Ovis aries: one gene and its partner. The protein of the gene in region 1 interacts with the protein of each later gene in a biochemical or structural test. Links are inferred from orthologs where the notes say so. Each region holds a gene or a part of one and is shown on either strand. Other genes may lie near its edges.

Region 1 (5,328 bases):
AGACAGCCAGGGTCCAAGGAAGGCCTGTTTATTCTGAGGGCGCGCATGCGCTATGGCTTGTAGGGCAGACAGCGATGTCGGTCGGTGGGTCAGGATCTGGGCAGAGGGAAGGCAGATCGGGGCTCCTCCCGGGAGGCTCCCGGCAGGGGCCAAGCCCAGAGCCTGGGATCCTTCCTGGGGGCTTCCCTGCAGGCATGAGGGGCCTGTCCAGAGGTGCCCTCCTCAGGGGCACGGGGCCTCCATCCTCAGACCACCCACCCCAGGACAGGGCAGAGGGCATCTCTCAGAGCCCCTGCCCTGAAGCCTGCGAGCCCCCAGCCCTGTCCCTGGGACTCCCACTTGGAATGGCTGCTGCTGAGGGGGTTGGGGGGGAATGGTGTGCAGAGAAAGGTTTGTTTTATTGCAAGTATTTAGAGAGCACGTCCTGAGGGGGTGGGGGCGGGGCTCTGCTATTAAGTGGAAACATATGTGGAGCTAGAGATCCTTCTGGGGAAAAAAAAAGCAAAAACACAAATTCCTGTAAGTCAGCAAGCCCAGGCAGTCAGCACGGCGGCCAGCCCGTGGGTCACCACCGCCCCTCCCCCCTGGCCCTTGCCCCCCCCCCTTTCCCCCCCCTGCCCCTCACTGTCTCTCTGGGTCTCTCACATCTCGGGGGCTCCCTCTGCCCATCTTGTGGCCACACTCCCCTAACACCCTGCGGGTGGTGGTGGGACCACCCCAGCTTAGGGGTAAGGATGCCCCCTCCAGTCCACCGGGGCGTGGGGAGCTCTGGGCAGTCCGAAGGGCAAGGCCCAGGCCCGTGGGGAAGAGCCGGTGGGGAGCAGGCAGGGGGCTCAGAAGTTGCTGAAGATCTCGCGCTTCCGGTTCCAGTCCATCTGTGGTGCCCGCTTGTTGACCCTGGTGGCTCTCGCCTTCTCCTTGGCCTCAGCTGCTGTGGGGCTCAGGTGAAGGCCGCTCTCCTGAAAAGGGTCTCGCTTCCACGTGCTGCCATCCTAGGGGTGGACACGGTGGGCAGGTGGCCAGTGAGCCCTGGACCCCAGCCCCCAGGCAGGTGGCCCTCCCCAGGGAGCTGGCGCCAGAGGCCACCTGGCAGCAGGCCCAGGAAGGCTTCCTAGAGGCGGCGGCCTCACGGCTCAGGCTGACAGCTCCACAGATGCCCGCCCCCAAGGCCTCAGGCCCCCCAGCATGTGAGCAGCAGCACTGGAGGTGGAGGGGCACCCACTACCTCAGTGTCCTTGTCTAAGCCGGGCAGGTCACTTCGGGACGAGCACACGGAGCCACCATTGAGCTGGGAAACCAAGGGTAAGGTGTGGCTTCAGGGGCCCACCCAGGAGACTGTGCACACGTATGTGCACACATGGACACAAGTGTGTGCACACACGTGCACACCCCAGAGCTGCATTTACTCCTGCATCTGGCAGTGGCACTGAGCCTTGACTGCAAGCTGGCGGTGCCCGAGTGCCCTGTGGGGTGGAGTGCGGCTGGGCCCGGACAGGACCCAAGGGGCCTTAAAGCTGGGAGTGACAGGGCCGGGCTCAGTGTCACAACCATGTGACACCAGGACTGAGGTCTCAGGAGGGGCTCCCAGAAGTGCCCCTGAGGTCCCCGAGCCCACCCTGTCTGCTCCCACCCTCTCACCTGGGCCGAGCTGGTCCCGTTGGTGACCGGCGATGGCAGTGGACCTGTGGGGACAGTATGTAACTGACCACTCGGGTCCCCGATGCTTCACCCCAGCCCTGGGCCCCAAAGCAGCCGCTCACCTTCCACATGCTCCTCGGTGGGTGTGACCCGCAGCCGCTTGAAGTGTTCATCCGTCTCGGGGTCCACCACCAGCAGCTGGGCCTCGTCCTCCCGCGCCTTGATGCTGGCCACCACCTCTGCATGGCGCAGCCCCTCCACATTCTGCCCGTTCACCTGCCACCAGCACAGGGTCAGTGCTGCCTGGGGACTGGTCCCCACCAGCCCCCCAAGCCACCCGGACAGGTGTGGCATCAAATATTCATCAGTGCCGTCACCAGCTGCAGCACCAAGAAGAGCACCAGCTCAGGTTCCCGGAATCTTCCTCCTGCAGAGGACCTGGGGCCCAGGCACACAGACGTGGATAGATGCACACAGACACACCTACAGGCACGCAGGTGCAGACACACACACAGATACACGCGGACACATACAGGTGCACAGGCACGCGCACACACGGACACACCTACAGGCACGCAGGTGCAGACACACACAGATACACGCGGACACACATACGGACACACCTACAGGCACGCAGGTGCAGACACACACAGATACACACGGACACATGGACACACCTACAGGCACGCAGGTGCAGACACACAGATACACACATACAGGCGCACAGACACACACATAAACAGACACACCTACAGGCACACAGGTGCAGACACACAGAGATACACACACATACAGGCGCACAGACACACACAGATAAACGGACACACCTACAGGCACGCAGGTGCAGACACACAGATACACACAGACACATATAGGTGCACAGATGCACACGCACAGATAGATAGACACGGACACACCTACAGTCATGCAGTTGCAGACATAGATACACTCGAACATGCACAGGTGCGCGCACACACATATGGACACACCTACAGGCATGCAGGTGCAGACACACACACAGATACACACAGACACAGGCGCACAGACACAGACATACCTACAGGCATGCAGGTGCACACACACAGATAAGTACACACAGACACACAGGCCTGCAGGCGCACACACATAGATAGATACACATGGACACACCTACAGGCACACAGGTGCAAACACACAGATACACATGGACACAGGTGCACAGGCGCACATGCACACACACGGACACACCTAAGGCATGCAGGTGCAGACAGATAACACAGGAACACACCTACAGGCACGCAGGTGCAGACAGATACACAGGGACACATACAAGTGCACAGACATGCATGCACACACACAGATAGACACGGACACACCTACAGGCACATAGGTGCAGACACAGATATACACGGACACACCTACCGTCACGCAGGTGCAGATACACAAGGACACACACAGGCACACAGAGGCACATGCACACACACACATAGACACGGACACACCAGGCATGCAAGGGCAGACACACACACAGAGATAGATACACATGGACACAGCACGCAGGCACAGACACATATACACACGGACACGGATAGGCAGACACGTAGGCGTACACACACACACAGGCACAGACACACAGAGGCACGCACAGCAGGACACAGGTACACACAGGGCAGCCCGCTCCCCGCAGCCCCAGTGGCAGGTACCTCTATGAGTCGGTCCTGGGCACGGAGACCAGAGTGGGCAGCAGGGGAGCCGGGGTCCACTGAGCGGATGTACTGTCCGGGCCGGGACTTGTCGCTGTGCAGGTTAAACCCGTAGCCCTGGGGGCCCTTCCGTAGGTGGCAGAGCCTTGGGCGCAGCTCCCTCAGAGGCCCGTTGGCATCCTGCAGGCGTCGGGGACACCTGGTGAGGTTCCAGCTCTGACCTCCTCCCATCTGAGAGATGCTGACGCCCGAGGCCTCCAGCCCACACCCACCCCACACCCCGCTGGGTGCCAAGGCAGCGCTTGGCCTCATACCCCCACCTGATGGTAGCCCCTCGTCTCAGAGACCCGTCCTGGGGTGTGGGGGTGCTTAGGCCACCTACGATGATCCAACTTTGGGATCTTGGACAAAGGCTTGGTTTCCAAACCCCCAGTGGGCCTGTGATGCGATCAAAGGCCTTACAGTGGGATTGGGAGAATCCACTGGGTCGAGGATAGGGCTGGGCGCAGACCCGAGCCGAGGAGGGAGCAGGCGAGGTGAGCTGCCCCGTGTCTCTGTTCCAGGAGGGCAGCCCCGCCTGTTGTTTACTCCGAGTGTGGGTCTGCTGGGGTAGGGCTCCAGCTTTGTTTACACTCCCACAGGTCTCCCTGGGGCTGGTGGCAGCAGCTGCAGCTGTGTTTGCCTTCACATTCCAGAGCAGCTGGAGCAGCCCCCATCCCCACACGCTGGAGCCCAGTGAGCAAGCAGAGGGGCCTGCCTCCCACCTGCCCCTCTGACCCCGGGGGCTCCTGGTGCCCTGAGGGTGCCCACCCACACCCAAGGGCCCTGCCTCCGTTTACCTCTGGCATCCTGCAGTAGGGCTATGGGCCAGGGGGTGCAGGGAGCCGTGCAGGCAGGGGCCAGACCCCAGGACCCCACCGGGGCCTAAGGCAATGACCAGCGCTGAGTGGCCAGCGGCCGCGACGCTCAGTCTAACATGGCGGTGGCCGGAGGGAGCAGGCGGCCAGCAGCTCAGGTTTCCCCAGCGCTTAGGGCTCAAATGTGCGTGCAGGGGCGGGGGTGCTCACCGGGGCCTGGCCTTCCACCTCCCTGTGTGTGGCCGGGGACACTGGGCCAGGTGGGGGGCCACACTTGGGAGAGCCAGCCTCCAAGCCTCCAAGCTCACCCCAAATCCCCCAAATCTGACTGTGGCCACCCTGCCGTGGAACCAAGAGTGCCCTTCCTTACAGGATGGTACCTTGCCCCAGCATGTGGGCCTTCCTACCGGTGGGGAACACCTTCCAGTCCAGCCTGGGCCCCTCCTCCAGGGGCCCGTTCCTGATCCCCAAAGAGTCCCTGATCTCCAAAGCCCCCCAGGAACCCCTGCTGCAGGCCACCATCTGCCCCAGAAATTCCAGGGGCTGGGGCTTCTGCTCCTCCATCCTCCAGGGGATCGGCTGGGCAGACACCCAGGTTCTCCAGGACCCCACAGACTGGGCCCTCTCCAAACACAGCTGCAAGCACAGGTGTGTGGCTCTGAGGCAACTCTCAGGCTGGGGCTGTCAGACCACAGGTTCCGAGGCTGGCCAGGGCCGTGTGGGACCCTGGACGTGTGACATGACCACACCTGGTAGGTGGACGCGGGCCCAGATGGCCGAGGCACCTCACACAGTCACAGAGACCAGACATCCAAACACAGGCGTGCAAACAGGCTCCACAGACCCCTGCGGTGACCTGTGGTGTGAGAGACAGCCCTCCCCTGAGGCTCTTCCCACGCCCTCCACAATGGTTCCAGGCCGAGGTCTTTCAAGGCCCCCAAACAGGAAGCAGGACTAGGGGGCATCCGGGGCCATGAGGCCAGACTGAATGCAGTCACTTCCGGTTCGAGACCACACTGGCCATCTCCCTGGCTAGACCCAGGACAGCCATCTCCCGCCACTAACATTTGGCCCACATCCCTCGCATTAGGATCAGGGTCCAAGGAGCACCAGACTTGGCACTGGACCCTCGGGCTGGGGGGCTGCAGTGG
Region 2 (5,866 bases), on another chromosome or scaffold:
CCCCGCTGATCCTTCTATTTTAAAATCCCTGTATAGGACTTCCCTGGTGGTCCAGTGGTTAAGACTCTGTGCTCTCAATGCAGGGAGCACTGGTTTAATCCCATGTCAGGGAACTAAAGTCCCGCATGTTGCATGGGGTGGCCAAAAAAATAATTAATTAATTAAAAAATAAAATAAAAGCCCTGTATAACCCCTCCCTCACTTTGCCCAAATCACCCCTTCCCAAATCCTGCCACTTCTCCACATATGCCACCCTTTCCCCCACCACGTGGCACTTTAAGCTTCAGTTTTTTATTTCTGCTTAGCAATTGACACAAACATTAGCAGAACCTTCATGCTGGGGGGGAAGAGCACGTATGGTTTATTAGCCATAAAAGCCAGGATTTTTTGAGTTCTGACAGTGAGTTGGGCACAATGGCAAACTCATTAATATGTTATCTCTCATTTTCAGAACAACCTGCAAGATGGAGATTTGTTGTCATTTTTTACAGACTCAAAGAGGTTCCACTATCTGGTCTTCAGTCATGTACGTCTGTCTGATCCAAAGTTCGAGTGTTTTCAACCACCTCTAGCTGCCTTTCCCTTGCCTAAGGTTCATCCATCGAATGACACAATCAGACCCTTAAGACAGTGCTCAGTCAGCCTGTCCTTTCGGCAAAAGCCCAGAAATGTCACAGTGACACTAGCTGTTCCTCTGCTCTTTCATTCTGTCTTACAGATTCGGAAACAGGTTCAGAGGTACAATTTGCCGTATGGTTCAACCAAGTGGATATCAAACCAGAAAGGGGTCTAATGGGTTGTCGGCACCGGGTTGGATGCTGCTGATGCTGTGTGACCCACCTACAATAGAAGGTAAGATCCCAGGGCCCTGTCGGATATAATTTGTTTGTCCTACTTGAAACCTTGCTTAGAACTAAATCACAGGATTCCAGCAGTTTGGGGGTTCACCCTCCCAGATGACTGCAACTCAGCCAGCCATACCTTCAGAAGAGCAGAGATGAAGCAGTCCTTACTGGGTCCCTATGGCGTGCTCAGTCACGTCCAACTCTTTGTGACCCCATGGACTATAGCCCCTCAGGCTACTCTCTCTGTCCAGGGGATTCTCCAGGCAAGAATACTGGAGTGGGTTGCCATTCTCTTCTCCAGGGGATCTTCCCAACTCTGCCACAGCCACTAAACACCAAGCCTGCACCCTTCAGCCTTCTCTGGTCTCAACATAGCAATAATAATATTAATAGTGATATTCCCTTGCCAGCTAACACTCTTCAAAGCACTTCCCATTATCACTGCATACCACAGTAGCATTTTAGGAACCGGACAACTGGGCTCAGAAAGTCCAGGTAATTTGCTGGTGAGAGAGGAAGCAGGGTTATGGTTCCTCTTTTCTTTACCACAGATAGAGCTCCTACCATACTCCATGCCCCATGCTAGGCTTGAGGAGGGCTTCTTGGAAGAGACAGGGTTTCTGGGCAGTGCACAAGTGCCAAGGAAGACAGTCCCAGCCTCGAAGCCAGCAAGGAGTGGGGCTTGGAGCTGTTCGCATTTTATGGGTGGCTCCAGACCCAGTAACTCCTGAGGACAGAGGACCAGGGGTCTCATCCCACAGCCTCCACCTTCTCCTTCAAGCTCAGCTCCTGAAGCTCAGAGGCACTGGGAACTACCCCAGCCTTCCTGACACAGCCCATCTCCCTTCTGGATGGTGCTAAGAGGCTCCTGGCAGAAAGGGTGTGCGTCACGTCCACACTGAGGTCCATCTGCCTGAGAGCAGGACTGAGGAGAGACACCCCACTCCTGCATCTTATCAGCCCTGCAGGGTGTGCAAATCTGCGGTGTTCCTCACACTGGAATCCCTCCTGCAGGCGTCACCTCCTCACCTACTCACCCCTTTCAGGCCAGGCTGTGGAGTCTCAGGGCTGCTCCCTGGAGGATGCCCAAACCTACTTGCTCCTTGAGCACCTGCCCCTTCCCACAAGCAAAGTCCCCTGTGACGAAGAAAACAGACTGCACTGCCATGCTACCCTGCCCTTCCCCTAAGACTTTAGTCCCAAAGGCAGCACCTACCAAGAAGAGCAAGGTCCCCTCTCTGTCTCGGCTATCACGACAGCCCCTCTGACTCTAGAATGGAAACAGGGCTCTTTCTCCCTGCAGACACCTGCTCAGGTGGGCAAGAAAGAAATGCTTCTCTCTCCTGGGGCCGAGAGTCCTAGCTGTTCCTAGGGACTCTGGGACAGTGCCTGTCCCACCAGATTTTCACCTTTAGAAGAAATATGGGAGATGTTTCTATGGCACAGTCCAAGCCCATTTCATGAGAGAGAAATTCTTTTCTCTACGAAGGGCTGGGAGGGACTCTCACCTTCCTGGCCGTGCACAGAGAAGGGAGCTGTTTCCTTGGTGCCCTGGAGGCAGGCGCCCCACTCAGGTGAGTCTGGGATTGTGGAAAATCCTCTTACTCCCTCCCCGTTTCCACCTGCCCCAGCACAGGTTCAAGTGAGCTGAATGAGCACACGATGCTCGGAAAAACCTCCCGGCAGAACGCGAAACACATGGCCTCGAGGGCCGTTACTGGAGGTTTGTCACCTGCTTCGGGGACTTCCTCATAAGCTCCCAGCCTGCCGCTCTGCCTGGAATTAACGACGACACAATACCGTCCCTTACCACTCCAACGCGGAGAAAAAAGTGATTAGACGCTGGGGGTCCAGCGGAAGCGTGGAGGCTCGCGGTGCCCCAAGTCCCGACTCTAGGACCGCGAGCCCACTCAGCGCCGGAGCGCCCGTTTGCCCGAACAGAACCCATCGCAATTCCACCCACGTGGAGATCCGGACGACCCACGCTCGGATCCCGGCACCTGCGGCGTTCTCCTGGGGTGGGAAGGGGCCTGGCTGGTGCAAGGTCAGCGCTCCGCGTGCGGCCCCGGGTAGTAGTGAGCGCAGGGGCTGCTCCCGGGTCCCGCCACGAGGCAGGGCGGGTTTCCCAGCAGCGGGCCCGGCCGGGGGCGCACCGGCACAAGGGGAGTCCCGGCGGAGCCCGAGCCACCATCACTCACCATTACCGGAGAGCAGCAGCGGCAGCGGCAGCAAAAACGCCAAGAGCACCAGCGCGGCGCGCATCGTGTCCTGGGCGCGGGCGCGGAGCAGGTGGCTGCGGGCTTGGCCAAGGGTCCGGGCGGCGGGAGCGTGCGGGCGCCTCTCCGGGAGGCCTGGCGGTGGCTCCGACGGCCGGGCGGTGGCCCGAGCGTCCCGAGTCGCGCCCCGGTGGCCCCTCCTCGCGGCCGCTGCGGCAGAGCCGGCCGAGGCGCCGAGCCAGGCGGCAGAGGAGCGGCAGGCGGCTGCGTCGCAGGCGGTGTCTGCGCGGCTGCGGCCCGGCCGGCGGCTGCGGCGACTCCGGTCCCGTCCGCGCCGGCCCCCGCCCCCTCCCCTTCCCTTCCCCAGGAGCGCGCGGGCGGGGCGGCGCTGGGCGGAGAACAATGAGCCGAGAAGGAAACTCCGCCCTGGCGCGCGGCGGGCGGGGGAGCGCGGCCGGCTCCCGGCTCCCGGCTCCGGGCTCCGGGCTCCGGGCTCCGGGCTCCTGGCGGGCGGCCCCGGCTCGGGGCGGAGGGGAGGAGGGGATGTGAGCGTGAGCGCCGGAAGGCTCGGCAGCTGGGGTGATTCCCGGCACCAGACCGCCCCCTGCCCGGAGGCCCCCCCGCCCCGGAGCGCAGGTGTCTCCCGCGATACTTATGAGGCGAGTCTGGCGGGACCCCCCCCCTCACCACCACCACTGCCGAGTTCCTATCCGCCCAGATCCAGAGCTAGAAGGCCCCCAAGGCTGTGTGTTCTCCACCGAGCGCTCCAGGCCTCCCGGCTGCAGCGCATTTTGTTGCAAAGCCTGAGGAGCGCGTCTCTCACCTGCCAGGTGCAACTCACTTGCGGGCGGACCCGCATCGCGCACAATTTATGAGCAGGTCTGCGCTATAGGGTTTGCACCATAGGGTCTGCACCCAGCAATCGGACTAGTTGCTCAGCTTTTCTAAACCGACCTCACTTGTGAATGGAGGTGATGTGAAAAGAAATCCAAAACCAAACAAAAAAGAAGACGAAATATTGAAGGATTAATCATATGTGCCACTTGGTGTTCTAAGGGCTTTGCACATATTAAGTCATTTATTCTTCGCAACAGCGATGTTTTCAGCTTCGTTTTGTAGGTATGGAATTGACTGAAAAAGAGGCTTTTTCAGCGATCTGGAGATCACAGAACACAGAACCGCTTCTGAAAGTAGTTTGGAGAAAATACTTTGCGCAGTGCCTGGCAAATAGTAATTGCTCAGTATTACTATTATTCTTACTCTTGCTCTATCAAGAACAACAATGAAAATTTAGGGCTTCGATTTAAAACCGACTTGAGCTCAAAACCTAGCTATGCCCATCTATTAGCTGTAAAACCCTGGGCACGTTATTCGGTGTACCTCAGCTCTTTCCATCTGTAAAACAGGGATAACACTACCTAGCCCAGATGGTTGCTATGAAGTTTATCTAAGATAAAATGCTTAGCACAGGGCCAGGAACACAGTCTGCGGGAATGAAGAGGCCCCGCTCCCAGCACTGGAAGGAGAAATTTGCAGACCTGGGGTAGGGGTGGGAATTGAATTCCATAAACCGAGTAAACCCGGTGAAAGAACAAAGACCTCCCTCTCGGCTAGGTGGTTTTTATTTTCAAAAGCTGCTTGAATGATGCAGATCCTGGAATCCCCTGCGGAGGAGGCTCACGGGTGGCTCCGGGGCTGGGGTGGGGGGAGGGGAAGCAGACCCAGAAGGGGAAAGATGATTCACTGGGGGGCAGGGGGTGGGGATGCGCTAGGATTTGGTTCAAGCGACTTCTGGGTTGATAAATGGAGTCTTTCTGCCAGATGGGTCCGGGGTGGGAAAGAAGGGGTGTCCCCAGAGCCCAGCCCCGTGCCAGGACCCAGCCCAGTGGACTCCTCCCCCAGAGCCCAGCCCCGTGCCAGGACCCAGCCCAGTGGACTCCTCGAGCCCCTCGAGGGGGCTACACGCATACGCTGCCCTAAAGGCGCGGCATCTTTGGAGCAGAGAAGGAAGCGGGGACACTCTGGCTAGGGTTTTTTGCAGCAGCAGGCTGGGCTTGGGAATGGCTGACCTGCCTGTTTTCTTCAGGAAGTTTCTGCAGGATCATTCTGGCCCCATTTTCCATGCCGCATGTGGGAAAGACAGAGTGTGTGCGTTTCTCTTTCTGAAACCAAGCAGTGTGCTTAAAGAGCTGGGATTTTAAAATGTGTGTATTGTGTGCTCTCTGATTTAAACAGTAATTTTGCACTCAATCCGTGGCTCCAAAAATCTAGAAAAGAGCATGTTAACTCTAGTACAAAGGGAGAGTGTATACTTCAAATCCACATGAGGTGGGATTGGTCCTATTACCATGCAAAATTAAAATGAGAGCAGACATCTCCCGCATATGAAAGCGACAGCTCTTTGTATCCAGAGACTTGGCAAAATCAGAAACGCCCTGGACCGTTCCCAGTAGCCAGCAGCAGCGGGTCCTCCCCTCACCTTATGCAGATGGGGTTTCCAGGAAGGAGGCTGGCCAGGCAGAGACATCACCCGTGGTCAGTGAGCAGAACTGCTCCAGGCACCTGGCCCCTTTAACATAGCCCTTCCACCAACTAGTTTACTGGCTCTGAAAATCAAAACTCAAAGGACTTAAAAAAAAAAAATTATTTATTTATTTATTTATATTTTGGACCATGCTAGGTCTTCGTTGCTGTGAAGGCTTTTCTCTGGTTGTGATAGTGGGGCAGGGGGCACTCCTCTTGAGCTGTTGAAGGACAGAGTGTGTTCCCTATAAATAGAATGGGATGTGTGTGCAGGCTTCTCAC

The links.
Region 2: the proteins of NHERF2 (region 1) and PODXL form a complex in vitro, tested with the Homo sapiens proteins (3 studies listed by BioGRID and IntAct, with this or other methods). The link is inferred for Ovis aries from reciprocal best matches to the Homo sapiens genes NHERF2 and PODXL.

What each region holds. Positions count from the first base shown.
Region 1 is NC_056077.1:2,105,300-2,110,627, reverse strand, and holds the end of NHERF2 (Na(+)/H(+) exchange regulatory cofactor NHE-RF2), read right to left. Parts: intron 3,501-5,328; coding exon 3,321-3,500; intron 1,915-3,320; coding exon 1,761-1,914; intron 1,683-1,760; coding exon 1,639-1,682; intron 1,289-1,638; coding exon 1,226-1,288; intron 993-1,225; coding exon 834-992; 3' UTR 13-833; downstream 1-12.
Region 2 is NC_056057.1:96,947,694-96,953,559, forward strand, and holds the start of PODXL (podocalyxin), read right to left. Parts: upstream 3,921-5,866; coding exon 3,903-3,920; intron 3,702-3,902; coding exon 3,044-3,701; intron 1-3,043. UniProt on the Homo sapiens protein: Involved in the regulation of both adhesion and cell morphology and cancer progression. Functions as an anti-adhesive molecule that maintains an open filtration pathway between neighboring foot processes in the podocyte by charge repulsion.